Caenorhabditis elegans: one gene and its partner. The protein of the gene in region 2 interacts with the protein of the main gene of each other region in a pairwise test. Each region holds a gene or a part of one and is shown on either strand. Other genes may lie near its edges.

What was found.
Region 1: the proteins of perm-4 (region 2) and lrx-1 interact in a two-hybrid assay, tested with the Caenorhabditis elegans proteins (one large-scale study listed by BioGRID).

What each region holds. Positions count from the first base shown.
Region 1 is NC_003283.11:12,251,032-12,259,295, reverse strand, and holds lrx-1 (LRP X(cross)-hybridizing), read right to left. Parts: upstream 6,612-8,264; 5' UTR 6,519-6,611; coding exon 6,432-6,518; intron 5,935-6,431; coding exon 5,830-5,934; intron 5,748-5,829; coding exon 5,463-5,747; intron 5,281-5,462; coding exon 5,151-5,280; intron 4,951-5,150; coding exon 4,825-4,950; intron 4,778-4,824; coding exon 4,643-4,777; intron 4,597-4,642; coding exon 4,480-4,596; intron 4,024-4,479; coding exon 3,902-4,023; 3' UTR 3,846-3,901; downstream 1-3,845. Other genes in the region: Putative UDP-glucuronosyltransferase ugt-56, read right to left, coding at 149-298; Putative UDP-glucuronosyltransferase ugt-55, read right to left, coding at 517-751, 804-1,029, 1,274-1,505, 1,551-1,679, 1,726-1,865, 1,917-2,247, 2,297-2,380, 2,432-2,593; T04H1.12 (Activin_recp domain-containing protein), read right to left, coding at 2,581-2,630, 2,896-3,021, 3,467-3,653; T04H1.5 (G patch domain-containing protein 11), read right to left, coding at 6,947-7,085, 7,169-7,724, 7,775-7,949; rad-50 (Zinc-hook domain-containing protein), read right to left, coding at 8,237-8,264.
Region 2 is NC_003282.8:1,119,133-1,128,209, forward strand, and holds perm-4 (PERMeable eggshell), read right to left. Parts: upstream 5,976-9,077; 5' UTR 5,954-5,975; coding exon 5,897-5,953; intron 5,840-5,896; coding exon 5,692-5,839; intron 4,532-5,691; coding exon 4,071-4,531; intron 2,780-4,070; coding exon 2,450-2,779; 3' UTR 2,362-2,449; downstream 1-2,361. Other genes in the region: perm-2 (uncharacterized protein), read left to right, coding at 7,669-7,752, 8,587-8,746, 8,797-9,032.

The DNA of each region.
Region 1 (8,264 bases), on a different chromosome or scaffold from region 2:
ATTTTTTGCCGTCATCTACTTTAAAAGTCGTATTTCTTTCAACTACCTGTTTGTAAGTACAATTCCTCTTATTTCTCAAATATATTTATCAGAATTTTACCTACATAAATAACTTGTTCTACGTGCAAAATAAATTGAATTGACCTACCACCTTGTGTCCTCTTGCTGCAAGCACATTCGCAATCCTTGCCGTGAAATACACATGACTCTGCATCATTCGTGGAGCATAAATCAGAATATCAAAAGCTGATCCATAAATGCAAAGAGCACCGAGCCAAACGATGAAAGCCCACAACATTTCGACACCTGAATGTACTTGTTTTTGCAACACATCGGGTATTTATATGGAATAGATTAGGCGGAGCTCTAAATCTAATTGTCTGTTATAAGGTTTCTAAAATCAAGGAACACGGAGAGAAGCCAAAGTAACAGATTTTGGCTATTAAGTTCTAGAAATGTGCCCCATTATTATTATTTATGAGACGAAATAATTATTGAAGCATGAATGAAAATATTTTATAGAAGAAACTTTCTAATTAATATCATTGTCAACAATGTCAGAGTAAACATGGCAATTGAGTCTAAATATAAAAGAATTTGATCAGAGGAATACAATTTTGGATAAAACTCAAAGTTAAGAGGCGATAAGTTATCAGTGTATGTAGATTCAACAGTATCCAGGAAAAGGTTTTCGGAAGTTTGTTTCGCATTTTTCAAATTTGAAGATAATTTTAACAAGTTGTCATCTAGTCTGTAAAATAAGTTGCATTCCAAAAATTAAAACAATTTCAATTTTATTTTACTTTTTGTTACTTTCAGTTCCTTGTTTTATTGCTGCATAAACCAATTCTTCATTCGCTAGTTGATCTTTGAGTAAAACATGACTCAATCCGTTTTCCAATGCAATTTGAGCGTTCCTGTGTTGATCACCAAATAAGGGAGTTATCAGAGTACGAGTGTTTGAATGAAAAGTTTCAAGAAGACTATTCTGACCGCCATGTGTGATGAATAATTTGATTTTTCTTGATTCTGAAAATATTTTTAACGAAAGTTACTTATGTTTTTGAAATATAATAACACAAAAAAATTTAGCTGTTAAGGAGCACTATGAAATTTAGAAAAGTCGATCTGGATTGTGTTTTTTTACCTGGAAAAATTTCAGACTTTTCTTGTTCAAAAAATCATTTTATTTTTTCAGGACATTCTAAAAGAAGATAAAAACTTACTTTGGCTACAAAATCGTACCAAATTTTTCTAAATTTATGCATCTCACCTAATAAATCAACTTGAGGCAAAAACTTCTTGAAAACCACATTCCCTTTCTTATTTTTCTGTGTGAACTCGTCGTCTTTCTCATATTTCCAAATGAAAAGAAAGTCAGGAAACCTTTGGAAAGTATTTATTAACGTATTTTTATATTTCTCGGGCATCAAAAACGAAGGTGTTGTAGTTCCGAATGACACAAGGATTATGGAATTATATTTATTGAATAGATTGATATATTCCTGGAAAATTGTGTTTTATTTTTCAACGCGTAAAAACAAACTGACGTTTTTCAGTGGCATTGGAAATTTAAAGGATATTCCTCCAATTTCATGAACTCTCCTGCTCCATGGTCGATGAGCATCTGCGAGCTCATGGGTGTTCAAAAACATTAGATTGCTAAATCGGAGGAGATTCTAAAGCAAAAACATTTTGAAAAAAAAAGAATTGCTGTGAACCTACTTCAAAGCTGCTAGTTGTTTCAAAAAGTGGCTCCAACGTCTTGCTCTGTACCTCAAAAAAGTTTCTCCAGGCAGAATGAAATTTTAAATTTCTCCGTATTCCATAGAAAGGAATACTATTTCCATAATCAGAAAGAATCGCTGAAATAATTTTATCATGATTTCAATTTTTCGATGATCAAAAAAACTCACAAGCATCTTGCAATTGACTCGAAATACCAAGAGCTTCATTAACAATATCTCTCATTCCAGTTGAAGACAATATCACAGATTTTCGGATACCCAGTTTTTCAAAAATTCCAATTCCACAAATATCAAAAACTTCATGAATTCCAAAATCAAATTCCAAATGTTTCAATTCATTAAACACGGTTTCTTCTTTTGATACCAAATATTTACATTGTTCTAAAAATATAATTCCCAATTGTTTCATAACCTTCTTCTGTTCCTCTGGTTCATTTCGCATACTCCAAAAGTTTATGGGAATACTTTGATCAGCAAGCAATTTTGCAACATTTGCCGACTAAAAATGTCATAAAATTTGTGTTCATTATAATTGTCTGTCAACTGACCGTTTCAACTTTTACAACCTTTTCAATAACTTTCAAATCTAATTTGTTTGAAATATCACTGCGAAGCACATTATCTACAACTACCTGAAGTTTGAAATTTTAATTTTTTATTTGTACTTTTTTCGAATAACTTACAACATTGTGGCCCCGTTGACCAAGAAGATTAGCTATATTTGCCACAAATGCCACATGGCTCGGTATCATTCGTGGAGAGTATACAAGAATTCGAAGTGAAAGACATGGTGTACCATAATTCAAGAAAATAAAAATAAGAGTGGGTAAAGTCAGAAGTTGCATAAATCCGATGAACAGTAACACGTGATCAAGTGTGGCCCTGAATGTTGATTTGTTTAAATGTCTATTTCTCTTGTTGATTTTCAGTCTCTAGTTTTATAGACAGGTAAATAGAAATCAATTTAAATGTTTTCACGTCAGTAGAGTAACAAAATTGTTTTTGTTTTGAAAGAATTAGTGAGAGACTTTTCAATAAAGTTGCATAAATTACTTAACAAAAGTTTAAGAAAAAAGAGCTACACGTTTACTCTCAAAAAATCTATGAAACCTTGACCCTAAAAGTGGTAATGAAGTATTATTCTCACCAATTCGTCTAGAAATTGGATCATCTTCATCATATGAATCCAAACATCCTCTACCATCTCTATAAGCCTGTGGTGGTTCAAGTTCATAGCACTCTCGATGAATAGATAATACCTTTGGTGAACCATCTGGAACGGTAAAATGGATTAGTCAATAAACTTTGAATCTAGATTATCCCTGGGGTCATGTGCACTGACAATAAAAAATAAAATTCGGAATTAGGATAGTTCGGATTTATTTAAATTGAAATTGACTTTGCGAAACTTTTCAAACAAAATTGATAGATTTTTTTCAAATCAGCCTTGTATTGGACCAATTATATAATTTGTTCAAAAATTGGCAAGACTTTGGTAAAACTTAAGAAATATTTGGTTTTGAGCGCGCCAAAAATTTTAAAAATTTTAGCTCAACTTTGTTCAAACTTCTGCCAACTTCTGATTCAATTTTTTGGACCAGAACTTAATGACAGTTAATGGTAGTTAATCAATGTTGGAACAAAAAATATTGAGTCGGAGACGGTCAATACGAAATGATCAATATTAAAAGTTCCAACTTCAAAAAATATGTGCATACCAGAATTCTGACTAATTTGCATTGTCTTCACACAAAGTGCATTATTCAAACGACAATGTGAGCTCATTGGTTTGACGAGAACTCTGTCCATGTATGATGTTGAGTTGATGCACTCCAGTGATATACATATTAACGGAAGTAATGTCAAAAGTGTGAAAATAGTAACAGAATATACGGAAATACTCATGAGTCTAACACTGGTTGACTTTCGGTGTCAAAGTTGAAAAGGGGTAAGAGTAACAAAAAGAAGAGAAAAAGAGAAACAGTAAACCTTGAAAAATAACCAGTCCCCACCCTTTTCGACCTCTTTTCCGTCAAATTTTCAAAGCGAAACTAATCGTTTTGTCAAATAATTTGAAAGAATATTTCAAGAAGCAATGACATTCATGTATTTATTTATAAATTAAGGGAAATCGACAAGAAGTTCAGCAGTATCTAGTAACAATATTTTTCATCAGATCCATCAGCACAATCTGTTTCTCCATTACACCATTGTAGACGTGTCACTGATTGTTTTTGATTCTCGCAGAGCAAATATTTTTGGCGTCCTTCTTGTTCTGAAATAACAAGTGTAGTATTCGTCAGTGTTTATTTGGACACTTGGCTAAAAATACTTTTTTTCCTATGTTTTTGTCTCGAACAAGAAAAAGTTCGCACATTGAAGTTGTGCCAAAATGTGTGGTTATAGTTAAGAAAGACATTCCAAATTGTATGTATTTCTATTAATGTTGCACTCCCAATGTTAGACTTTGACAATTAAATATCTCAGTTGTCTTTTCTCCTATTTAAAAATTGTCATTTGACAATTTTTTGAAAACTTTTTTCTATCGTTTGCAGTCAATTATTTATTGAAAAATATGTTCAATATCTTTAAATTGAACCGAGGTATAACCTTTTAAAGTGAAATAGTAGGATGCGATATTATTAGAGGAAGTACTGTACATTATTTCGCCACTTATAACTTTCCAGAGGTGTTTTCCGGGTGAGAAGAAGGGAGGCAGAAAAAAACTTACTACAATTCATTTCATCTTCTCCATTTAAACAATCTTTCTTTCCATCACAATGCATATCTAAATCCACACATGAAACACCTCCACGCGATGTTCCACAGACGAACTTTCCAATACAAGCTTTAATTACTTTGTTATAAAGTACATTTTAAAAAGTAAAAATTACTTGTATTTTTACTGCATCCAATTTCATCAAGATTCGATCCATCTTCACAATCATCAGCCACACCGTCACATCTTTTGTTTGCAGGAATACAATGTTCACTCTTCACACATGCAAACTCATCACGTGCACACGATGCTAAAGGTTTTCAATTTAATTGGCAATTGTTGTAATGAGTAACTTACGACAATTGTTCTCATCTTCCCCATCGGCACAGTCTGGGTGACCATCACAACGTTTGCTCACATGGATACAGGATTGAGGCATTGCACAACAAGCAAACTCATTTTCAGTACAGGTGTCTTTGATTGCTGCAATATCAAACACTATTTTATATTGGAGCTTTTTGTAAATAAATATATTTTATAGATTTCGAGAAAAAATCGATGAAATAATTAAGTTTCCATAAAATCAAAATCAGAAAATTGCAGATTTACAAACTTTCAAGCGCACCTCATGGTGCATCAACGCCATATGAAATTTTATACATACTCTTAATTGAATGACTTACTACAGTGCATGACATGATCGTATTCTGGACAGAATTTAATAGCATTCTTGTGATTACAATTTTCAGTAGACTTATCAAATGCTTGATCTTCGGACATACACGCCAGAGGAAAAGTCTGGCCAATTGAACACTGAAAATATGAAAGAAGTTCGGAATTTCAGAAATCTATTGACTGTAGAAATATAAATATTGATAGCATACAAATAAAAATAGCTTATTTCGTGCATACAATAAAGATAAGTTTCAATACTTTAAATTATACATTTGTTCAACTATTTCTGTATTTCAGAAAAATAATTTCCAAAAAATTACCTGGAAGAAAACATGAGAGCATGAAGTGTTGTATACAAAATAATCAATCCTTTCTAATCCATATTGTGCTAGTACATCATCTGGGAATTCTCGTTTATCACAATAGTTAATTGCATAGCTGTTGTCTGGTTTTTCTGGAGCTTGAGTTTGAGGCATTGGTGGTGGGATTGTACCAGGTTCAACGATTCCAGATCCACCAAGTGGAAATACAGGGTTCACAACTTTAAATTGAGGTTCTTCAGTTTCATAAATGTCTACACTATCCACATCTGGTTCGACTACATCCTAAATATTGTTTCTTGATATTCTGGTAATGTAAACAAATATAGACCTATCCTCGGCCCTGGCCCAAGCCTTTATAACTTACAATATTTGGATATGGCTGCTGAACAGTATGAATGCTTGATTGAGGATTTGGAACGTAGCCTCCAGAACCAGACGAAGCACTAGGTTGTACATATGGATAAGGCTGCTGGAAAATATTTATACAATTCACTAAAGAAAAACGATTGTTTTGATTTTTTTCAAAATTAAGTTTTTAAATCGTCTGTGAATCCAATTGGAATCTTTATGTTGCCTAAAACCATAATGATTTTTTGTGCGATTTTTTGTCAAAATTAGGTCTCGATACGACAGAAATATTTTAAATACGGTGATTTTAAATAGTACTGTAGTGCGACTCATTTCACAATTTTTTCGATTTTACATAAATATTTTCCTTGTAGCTCATACCGATTTATATGTAAATACGAAACAAATAGTTAGAAATAAAGCATTAAAATCGGAACGAACGAGGAAAAATTGAAAAAAAAACTTGAACTTGAACTACAGTACTCCTTATAGGTGCAAATCCCTTGGCGAGCCCTTCATTTGAACAATATCTTGGTCGTGGTGAGACCCTAAGCATTAGAAACTTTGAGAAAGAGAAATAAGAACAAATGCTACAAATTTTTGAACAGTTCACTGTACCTGCTGAGTTGCTGTGCCATATAGATCCTGTGGAAGAACCGGTTGAACGGCTAGAAGAATGAAAAATATGGACGTTAACCATGCCATGATTTGCAAAATGATTGGCAATCAAATTTACCGGAACAGATCGAGAGAATGGATGAGCAGATGATAAAGATGGTGGAACTTGATGTTGCTGCCCACTGAAGACTGTAGCTGAAGAAGCACAAGTGTCGTGTGTGCACTGGACTTTCTTCTTTTTCAATTGTTTGTGTTCTTTTCTATCGCTAAAGAAGCTTTTCGCGCTGTTGGGGGCTACTGGTGGTGCGCGGCAACTGATCGCCACTTCAAGCTGACTGACTAGTGGTCACTTGTCACTTGATACGTTCCCACCTTGAGAAACAACACAGGAGCAGACAATAATGAAGCAAAAAAGCAAAAAAAAAAAGTGACACGATGTTAGGACACGAACTTGGTTATAAAAAAGGATTCATAGTATATACATCAAGAATTGAGATTTTATGAAAATAATTAATCTATTCATCTTCTCCATGATGTGCTCGACGAGTGCTCCCAGGACAATGTTCGATCATATCTTCTGGCGAGGAAAAGTTGGCTCCGCACCAAATACAATAGAAGTGACCATCTCGAAGATAATTGTTGATAGTGGAAAGTCTGAAATAAACGCATATTTAATACTATTGTCGGTTTGGATAAATAACGCTCATTGAAACCTTATCTACAAAACAAAAACTTACGCTTCTTCTAAAATTTCCGTTGACATTGTGAAATCATAATTCGGATCTTCTGGAGCTGCTAAACCATTTGAGTACTTATATTCTTCATCTTCTTTTTCAACTTTTTTATGGTAAGATGTAGTTTCCTCTTGAGCAACTTTATAACTTCTCCAAAACCACGAAACACTGGGAACTTTTTTTCCAATTCGATGATCCAACTCTTCGCACACCTTTCGACAAGATCTGATGTCTTTGACTAATTGCTTTGAGTTGGCATCAAGCTTCCGCCGTTTGGAATAGTCATCGATCAGCTCTTCATGCTTTGCCGCTTGTTCTTTCATTTTTTGCATTACAGCCTCAACTCGTTCATTGCGTTCTTGAACTGCTTCAACCTCGTGCCCAAGTCCCTTCCTATTAGCCTTGATATCGACACCAATTGGTTCCGTAATTCGAATTTCGTCTTCTCTTTGCTTTCCCAATGTCATACCAGGTTTGAATCCCATTTTTGCCATCAATGCAAATCCTTTCGATTCGTGGCTAATCGGTTTTGCGAGCGCCTCGTCGCGACGTTCTTTTTCTGAAATTTATTTGGTAAACTACAAAAATAATATACTACGATTTACAAACCTCGCTCAGCATGACTAGTTGGCCTTTTTGGTTTAAACGTGTCTCTGGACTCTTCAAATCTTGAATTTATTTGTAGTTCTCGCTTGTGAGCTCTAGATTTTGCAATTCCAACTGGTTGTTCACTAACTCCTTGGAGAATTTCAGCAGACATGTAGTCATCCTCATCGTCAGACATTCTGATCTTGAATCGAAATTTTTTATGAATAAGGTTAGCTTTTAACAAGAAGAAAGAAACAAAAGCGTAGCAAAAAACGCATTAGAATATTGAAACAGTTAGAAAATATTTTTCATTTCACATCGGCCGATGCATCGGGTTCATCTCGTAAAATATAAAACATGAGGTAACAACATTTGGAAACTCGGGAATGATCTGACAAAGCATAAAACATAATTAAAAGGTGAGCGAATCAATTTTGAGACCGTAAAATATTATTTGTACTATTGAGATTCTTCAATACCATTCTAGAACCGTCTCTTCGTATTAACTCTT
Region 2 (9,077 bases):
GGAATTGTCTTTTGGCTTTTATTCTTATAGCAGGTTTACAGAGCATATAGGCTTAGGCTTATGGGTAGGCTTAGGCTTAGCCATAGATTTAAGCTTAGGATTAGGCTTAGGCTTAGGCTCAGATTTTGTTTGAAAATTCTTATAACTTCCTAAGTTTTCAGAATTGAATATATGAACGAAAGATCAAGCTTCTGCTTTTAAAAAAATCGACTTAAAATATAAATTGTGAAAATTAAATTTGAAGAAATATAACTAATTTCATCAATCAAAACTCTATTTTCTGAAAATCACAGAACACAGGACAGAGTTCTATATTGAAGAATTATAAATCTAATCAGAAACCACCCAAAAAAATGTTTGGAAAAATCTAATTTTCTCAATTCAGAAGCTGATCTCTCTGCCCCCAACCCATTTTTTCGGGAGAGTTAAGCTCCAGAAAATCACTGAAATAAAAACAGGTGAAATTTAAATATAAAATACAGAGAGATAGTATATGACGCGTGAAAATAAAGTTTGCTTTTTTTCTGACGAACTCTATTGAAAAGTTCAAATTTATCGTAGAATTTCGCTTTTAGTACTGAAAAATAGTGAAATCTGAAATTTTCCGGTTTTCAAAAATATTTTATACCAGTGTTGTGTAGCTCTCGGCTCTCGGCGCAAGAGAGAAAAATTAGGATTTTTGCCAAAAATGTGGTGTGCACTCGCCGAGAGCCGACTTTCTTCAATAGTAACACAGGACTGTTACACAAAAACAGCAGGGAATTCAAATTTTTTATTGAAAATTTTGAGAAATGGAGTTCGAGCACAGAAAATTTGCTAACATCGAAATATTCTAGACTTAAAATTTTTTAAAGAAATTTTTGAATAGTCATTTCGAATTCTCCATCCCTCAATTAGTTTATTCCAGAAATGCCAGAGCGCTAGCTTAAAGTCCCGTCAAATTCGGTGCATTGGAGTACGGTAGACGGTGTTTGCGTATTTCCGGAGCCACAGTAACCAACTGGTTTGAAAATCAAGCTAAAACCGTGAGAAGTTATGTTGTTGAATGCAAAAATAAACGAGGAAATAGAGTTGATAATGTTTTCTAGGAATGAAAACAGATTGAGTTCTGGAAAATTGAGAAAACAATATATATTTTTACCGCACTTTCCACTACTACAGAGTTCTCGTATAATATAGTGTACTTCCGAAAACTAAAAGCTATAATTATTTGTCATAAAAAAATAATTCCTGGGAGTACGGTAGAAGCTACAGTAATCCAAAAAAAATCTTAAAAAAATGCTAGAAAATGAAAAATTTGAATTTGTTATTGTAATTTTTCGGAGGAAAAAAAAGTTAATTTGAGAACCCCCGGAAATCACTTTTTTTCGGAAAAAACCCGCTGCAAAAAACAATCTCAAAATTTTTGAAATATTTGTTTTTTCAATTTATTCGGGAGCTGCAGAGTGAGCTCATAGCTTTCCAACAGAGCGGAAATTAATTTTACTAGTCATTTTTTGCTACGTTGCGCATTATCTTTTGATTTTTTAGTGTACGTGACGCATCAATATTTGGAAATTTAACTTTTTTGAAAAAAAAAATGAAAAATCAAAGTTATTTCAAAAAATGTTTGCAAGATTTAATGATTAGGTAGCTTTAATTTCTGCATAGATTTTTAAGCCAAAAAAGTTTTTCTTTGATTTCTAGATTTCTCTAAAAATACAAAAACGCCGACTACCATATATGCCGGGACTTTTGAGTGAAAGATTTTTTTGTCATTAGAAAGTGCGAGGACCATAGGGCTTTTATGTAGGCGTTAAAATGCCTGCTACCTGATCTCCGCCTGCCCCTCGCTCAATTTCTGCACTAAATGCTTGGTGTTTATTCCACAAAGTGCGAAAGGTGGTTCTTTGGCCGCGACCGACACTATTCGGGTCGTGGTGCAAGGCAGGCAGAGGTCGCCGCAAGGCGGGCGCGGCAGGCGTTCAGGCGCCTACAGGGAAGCCCTAGCAGGCTCAAAAACTTTTTGGAATCTGGTCACTGGTTTTCGTGAAGCTTCTATGTATACATGAGGTTTTCTAAAGTCTGGAAAACAGCAAAAAAGTGTAGAAAAGTACGTGGGAAAATGTCAATTTTTTCTGAGAAAAAGGAGTTTTAACAAAATGATCTAGACCAGAGGTGGGAAAATATTTGATAGTATGTTGCGAGACTGCGAATGATTTGAAAGTTCAACAAGTGTCTAAGTTGCTAAAATTATCAAAAACTTTTACAAAAGTTAAATTTGAAGAGCTAAATTTTAAGAATGACAAATTTGGCAACTTCCAAAGTTGCCGGAAACTTCAAAAACTGGTAGTTTATTCCAAAATAGCTATGTAGCACAAAATTTCAGGAGAAGATATTTATTGGGTTGTGCAAAATCGAATTATATTTGAAAAATGTAAACAAAAAGGTCACTTGTAAGAAAATCGAATTAATAAGCATTGGAAGCAGCAACTGGAGCCGGCGTGGCCGCTGGTGGAGCATCATTGGCGGCTCCCCAAGTTGGAGCAGCAGTTGGAGCACCTCCCCAGGTTGGTGGAGCAGCTGGAGCAGCTCCCCATGATGTTGATGGAGCAGCTGGAGCAGCTCCCCATGATGTTGATGGAGCAGTATTCTCGGATTGCCAGAGGTCAACGAGTGGCTGGGAGGCTGACATTGGTGGGGACTGAGCAGCTACTGGTTGTGGCTGGACGAAGGCGTTGGCGTTGTTGTTGTAGCCAGTTGGTGGGGATTGAGCAGCATTGTTGTTGTAGGATGGGTTCTGGAAGAAAATTGAATTGCATAATAAATTTTCCCTCAAAGTTTTGAAATATGAGCTTCAAAATAACCTAAAAAACATTGAAAAATATCAAAAACTGGCAAAGTTAGGGGTTTTCAGAAATTGAAAAAAAAATTTCTTAGGAAATTTTCTTTAAAACTCAGTGGTACATAGGCTAAATTATCGATTTTTTTTTTGCAAAATTCAATAAAATCCCGATGAAATTTTCAGTTTGAGAAGATTTTTGGAGAGAATTTCAAAATTTTTGGAAAATTCGTAGCTTTTTCAGTTTTTGAGAGTTTTTGGTGATTTTTGTGTCAAATTGAAGCTAAACTTTTATATTTTTTAGGAAAAAATAATTTTTAATTTAATATCGTCTTAGAAAGGTTCAAAAACATGAAAAATTCCTCTCAAATTCCTTATTTTTCGAATTTCAAAATTTTGAGATTTTTCGAAAATCCATAGCATTCTTAGTTTTTGAGACTTTTGGATAAGTTTTGTGGCAAATTGAATATAAATTTTAAAATTTTACAAAAATTCATGTTTGGAGTGATGTATTCAGTAAAATAGCTGAAAAAAGTAGGCCTAATGCCAAATTCTCAAACTTTGGAATTTTCTAAAATTTTTCAAAAATCCAAAACTTTTTCAGTTTTTGAGATTTTTTAGTGAATTTAGTGTTAAATTAAAGCGGAAGTTTCAATTTTTATGGAAAAAACTAGTCTGAACGCTGAAAAACCATATTTTCTTCAAAACTAGACGCTTGAACTCGTCATATGGCTTAAATTTAGGGCTTCAAACTTCGAAATTCGGAGATTTTTTGAACATTCTCAACTTTCTTAGTTTTCAAGATTTTCTAGAGATTTTTGGGCCAAATTAAAGCTGAATTGTTAAATGTTGTAGTGAAATTGTTTTAGTTATATAAAAACTAAATTGTGGTAAAAACCAAAAAGAAAGTCATTGGTCCAAAATTAAAAGTTTTGTTAATTCTGACAGAAATTTGAAAATCTATAACTTTTTCAGTGTATGAGATTTTTCAGTGATTTTTTTGCCAAATTTAAAGTAAATTTTGAAATTATTTAAAAAGGATTAATTTTAAATTTTCAAAAAATTTACTGTCTTCAAAACTAGACTTTTAGACTCGTAGGCCAAAATCTTCAAATATCGAAATTCCGCGGTTTTTTGAAAATTTATAACTTCCTCATTTTTCAACATTTTTTTTGTAATTTTTGAGCCAGATTAAAGCAAAATCACTGAATTCCCAACAAAAAAAAATAGTCCTTAAAATATTCCCCACCTGAGCAGCTGGAGAGGATCTTGGAGCACAGCACACGCACTTGACATTCTTATGATATTTCTTTGGCTCCCAGTTGGCCTCTGACAAGTAGGTAGAGTCAACCTTATGGAATCTTCCACGTCCATGTTTTCCGTCCTTCTCATCAGAATCCGAATCATTATCATCATCATCATCAGCTCCTCTCTTGGATCTCTTGAATGTCTCATCATCATCATCCTTGGTAATAGCCAAGAATCCGAAGAGTTGATCGTTGGGAAGGGAAGTGTCACGACGGGCGGTCTGTTGGCAGCAGAAGTTACAGGAATCTTCATCATGGGTAGCAACTTCGGAGCACTTTACACGAACGGCACGATTAGCTGGGACGGATGGGGCTCCACCGTAGTATGGCTGTGGGTGGCGATGATGGCGGCGGACAGAGTCGACGACGAGGAGCACGGAGGCGTCGAGGTCGCATACGAAGCCTGTAAATATTTTTCATCTTAAAATTCAAAATTTCAGCTTCAATTTAACTTAAAAACTGATAAAATATCTCAAAAACTGGAAAAGTTGTAGATTTTCGAAAATTTTAGAAAAAAACCATTTTAGTTAATTTGACAAAAAAAATTCCTGACTCAAATCAGTTTGTTCTACAGAATTTTAAAAAATTGGCTCTAATTTTACAATAAATTCAATAAAAAATCTCGAAAACTAAAAAAGTTATGAATTTTCGAAAATGTTCAAAAATCTATTATATAACTTTCTCAATTTTCGAGATATTGGGATGGTTTTTGTGGTATTTTGAGGGTAAATTTTTGAATTTTCAAGAAAAATTAGTTTTCGATAAAAATTGTCGAAAAAATTTAATAGCAATAAAATTTGACTCTTCCAAAAAAAAAAGTCCAAAATTTCAAAAATTTTTGAAAATCTATAACTTTCTCAATTTTTGAGATTTTGGGATGGTTTTTGTGTCATTTTAAGGGTAAATTTTTGAATTTTGTATAAAAAATAATGGAAGCTATCGTAACCTAGGAAAAGTGTGTTTTCTACCGAATTTCAATTTCTTTCAAAATATAAAATTTAAGCTTCAATTTGGCATTAAACTCAATGAAATTTTTTGAAAATTGTAGCTTTTTTGAAATTCTGCACCAACTAGATTAAATTTAATCTAAATAAATACTACAGTAACGCAGTTAATTTTGCCAAAAAATTTAAAAAAAATTAATCTTTAATTTGACATAAAAATCAAACAATTATCTCAAAAACTGGAAAAGTTACAGGTTTTCAAACATTTTCAAAAATTCTAATTCTGATAAATTGGCCTAAGTTCTACAGATTTTTTGAAAAAAAAAAACAGTATTTTTGCAACAAAATTTGAAGAACTAGCTTAATTTTGATTTAAAAATTATTGAAAAATCTCGAAAACTGAGAAATTTATGAATTTTTCAAAATTTTTCGAAAATTTGAAAATTGACAAAACTACCTATGAATAAGTCAATTTTTTGATGATTCCCAAAAAATGTTACATTTTTGAAATAAGTTGGCTATTGCGGTTCAAACAAGTATAATCATAACTAGGTCTACGCAAATGCGCTCTATTGCCAAATTACTATAGCTCTTAAAATTTGAATTTTCACGAACTCACGATCTTGAATAAGTGGCTGCCAGTATCCTGGTCCGAATGCTGGGTATCCATATCCTCCTCCATTTCCATAACCTCCTCCTCCATACGATGGACGACCGCCGTAGCGACCAGCAGCGGCCTCTGACTTGACCTCTTCGGTGGGTGTTGGCTGCAGAAAATGTTTCAGATTATCCTAAAATTGCGGAAATCCAAAAAAACCATATACCTTTGCACCGAGGACGGCGGCCAGCGAGGCGACTGTGAGAAGAAGAACGGTTTTCATTTCTGAAAAGCGATCGAATGATGGATTTGTCGGCGGAGCCATGCTTTTATAGTTCGGGGGGAACATGGGATGGGCTCCGCCTACAGAAAAAAAAATCAAGAGGAAAAGCTTGAGGAAGATGAAAGTAGAAATGTCTGAGTTGATGGAACGGGGAAAAAAGAGGAAACATTGAAAAGATGATCGATAGATTTGCACCATATCTCGGCTAATTTTCAAGATATCAAAAAAATTGTAACTAGACAGTTATAGAAAAAGTAATAATAAATAACTTGCCAGTTGATAATTTTTTGATAAAACCAAAGGCTACGAAGATATGAACTGTTAAAGTTGATCAGTAAATTTTTCATCGATGCACCAAAAAGAAGGGAATCTGAAGCATAAATAATGCATGTAAAACCTACTGCCAAAATTTTACAATAAAACTACTCTCAATGCACCATAATCAGCATTTTTGTTCAGCAGCTCGTATCCCTCTTATGTATTTTTATAAATATCAATTTATTACAAAACTTTGTAAAACTATGTAATGCATATTTTACGTGTTTGCAATTTGCTCATTGATATGTAAATTGTTGAAATTTTATTGGCAAATCCATAGAGAAATCCATTAGGAACACTATAAATCACTCCAAAGCTTTCAATTCACAAGGAAAGGAAGTCAATCTAGTCCCGGACTTTGAATCAGGACATATGCCTTTGAAAGCTTATGTTTAGACTAGATCACCAAAAAAATTTCAGCGGCGGAACTCAACTCTGAACCCCTGAAAGCGCCATCTGAAAGTGCTCCAGTGCATTTTTTTGCTGAATTCTAGGTCAAGTAAATGGCCTTAAAAGTGGCTAGAGCGGTTAAAAATTGTTTTTGGGGGTCTTTAGGGTCAAACAAACAGTGTGGAAGCTTTTTGGAAATTTTTATTTTTTTCCAAAAATCTGAAATTTTTGCGGTGATCTAGGCTAACCATAAGCTTTCAAATGACATACGTCTCGATTCGAAGTCCGGGACTAGATTAACTTACTTTCCTTGTCAGACAAATTTTTCACATAATACGTTAATTATCTATTTCATGCCCAAATTCCAGGTATTTGCACATTTCTCCATTCTCATTCAATTGCACTTTCACCCATCACGAGTTGCTCCATATGAAATCATCTGAAATGTCTGAAATTCCAAGCCCACTCAATCATCCCATTTCTCATATAACATGTTGCAATCAGGTGGGCGGCGGCTGCGGCCGGCAGGAAAAAGAGCCCAGCGGAATGTGTGATGGATTGAGCAGCGAAGAAAAAAGAAAATGGAAAAGCTGAAAAAAATAGTCGGTCGAAAAAAAAGTGACCTAAGGATGTGTTGCAACATGTGTCTGAGATCCAGCGGGGTTCAAAGAACTAATTTGTGTATCTTTTAGCAAAGTGTATTTTGAGAAAATCAACACATTTTGAACTAGAACACTGTAGAAAAACTGTTAAGGAACATTTTTCCAGTTGATCAAGTCCGAGTGATTCACCATGTATTGGAGCCTTTTGACTTGTTGGCTCAGTTACCACAGCTGTGAGATTTAATTCCAGGTTCCGTAGCAAACATTTTTGCGCTCCAAACCTTTTTGTTTTTTATCCAACGCCTAACGTTTTCCCCTCAAACTACAATGCCGAGTTCCCGCCTCCATATCTCTGGCGGATCTCAAGTATAAAAGCGGCGAAGCATCTTGGCTCCGATCATCATCATGTTTTCCACCACTTGGATCGTCGCGTCTCTGGCACTTTGCGCCGCTGTCACCTGCGCTGTGAGCACCGAGGCTCCTGAGAAGGTAAGCGTTACTGTTGGTTCTGTTGGAACTAGGAAAAACGGACTGTAAGGTTACTGTAGCTTGATAGATAACTTGATTTAGACACGTTAAAAAGTAAAGCTGTTATAGATATTTGACTAAATCTTGATGTATTGTCAGTAGGTATAATTAGTTGTATTCAAGTTATTAAGATTAGGTTTATTCCGTATCACGTGTGCATTAGTATGTATCACGTAAGGGTTACCTATACTATATTGTGATATCCTAAATAGTAAGTCTAAATAAGATTACTTGCTAAGGTGTAACTTGAATCGGACAGAAAATTTAGAGGTAATAAGATTTCTTGATGAAATGCTATGTTGATTAAGCGTAGATATATTTAATAGAATTCAACTTATTAGGAAGGTTAGTATACATTTAACTAGTTTCTTTTACCTAGGTTCTGCTCCTGGAGTTACTGTGGCTAGATGTAGCTAGACCTTAAATATATGTACCTTAAATAGGATGTAGGTCTAATTCAAATTAAACACGTTACGAATATGGCACATTATTTAATCCGATACAAAGGTAATACTATAAGTAGGCATGTATATTGAATAGTATTCAGGGAGGTATATTAGGACTAATTAAATACTTTTGAGATTAAGTAGTAACTGTTAAATACTGAAAGTGTAATAATTGTTTAGCTTTTAATATTTACCATCATTCATTTGAAGTACTTGTTCTAGGTAGCTTACTATTAGTATAGGAACGTAATCAATACCTACCTTTGAATCTAGACTAGTTTAGAATTTAGTACTAGAAAAAAATTATCAGTAAGTATGAGCGAATAAAATTTTATGTCCAATTTTCCAGCAATCCGACGTCAAGGACGCCCCAGCTGGAGCTCACTATGGCGGTGGCTACGACAACGGACCATCCTACAACCAACCCCAATACCCAGTCTACCAGTTCCCAAACTTTGACGTCAACTATTGCTCTGTCCACGCTTCCTTCCCACTTGTCGGTCTTAGAAGTTAGTTTTAACAACTTTCCTACGGGTCCCGTTCACCTTAAAACTTCTAGAGCACCATCGCGGTCACCACAGAGGCGACCGCGTGAAGAGACAAGCCTACGGAACCCCAGCTCAAGATTCCAACTACAACAACAACCAGCAATACGATGCTCCAGCCTACGGACCATCCTTCATCCAGAGACCACGCCCGTTCGAGCGTCAGGCTTGCAGAAACACCGCCATCTACTCGCAGGAGTCGTGCCAGAACTGCTGCTCCATCTCGTCCCGTGCCGCTGGAAGCTCATCGGTTAGTGCGGGTCAGAGCTATAGCTTTGGTTTATTTTTAGACTTA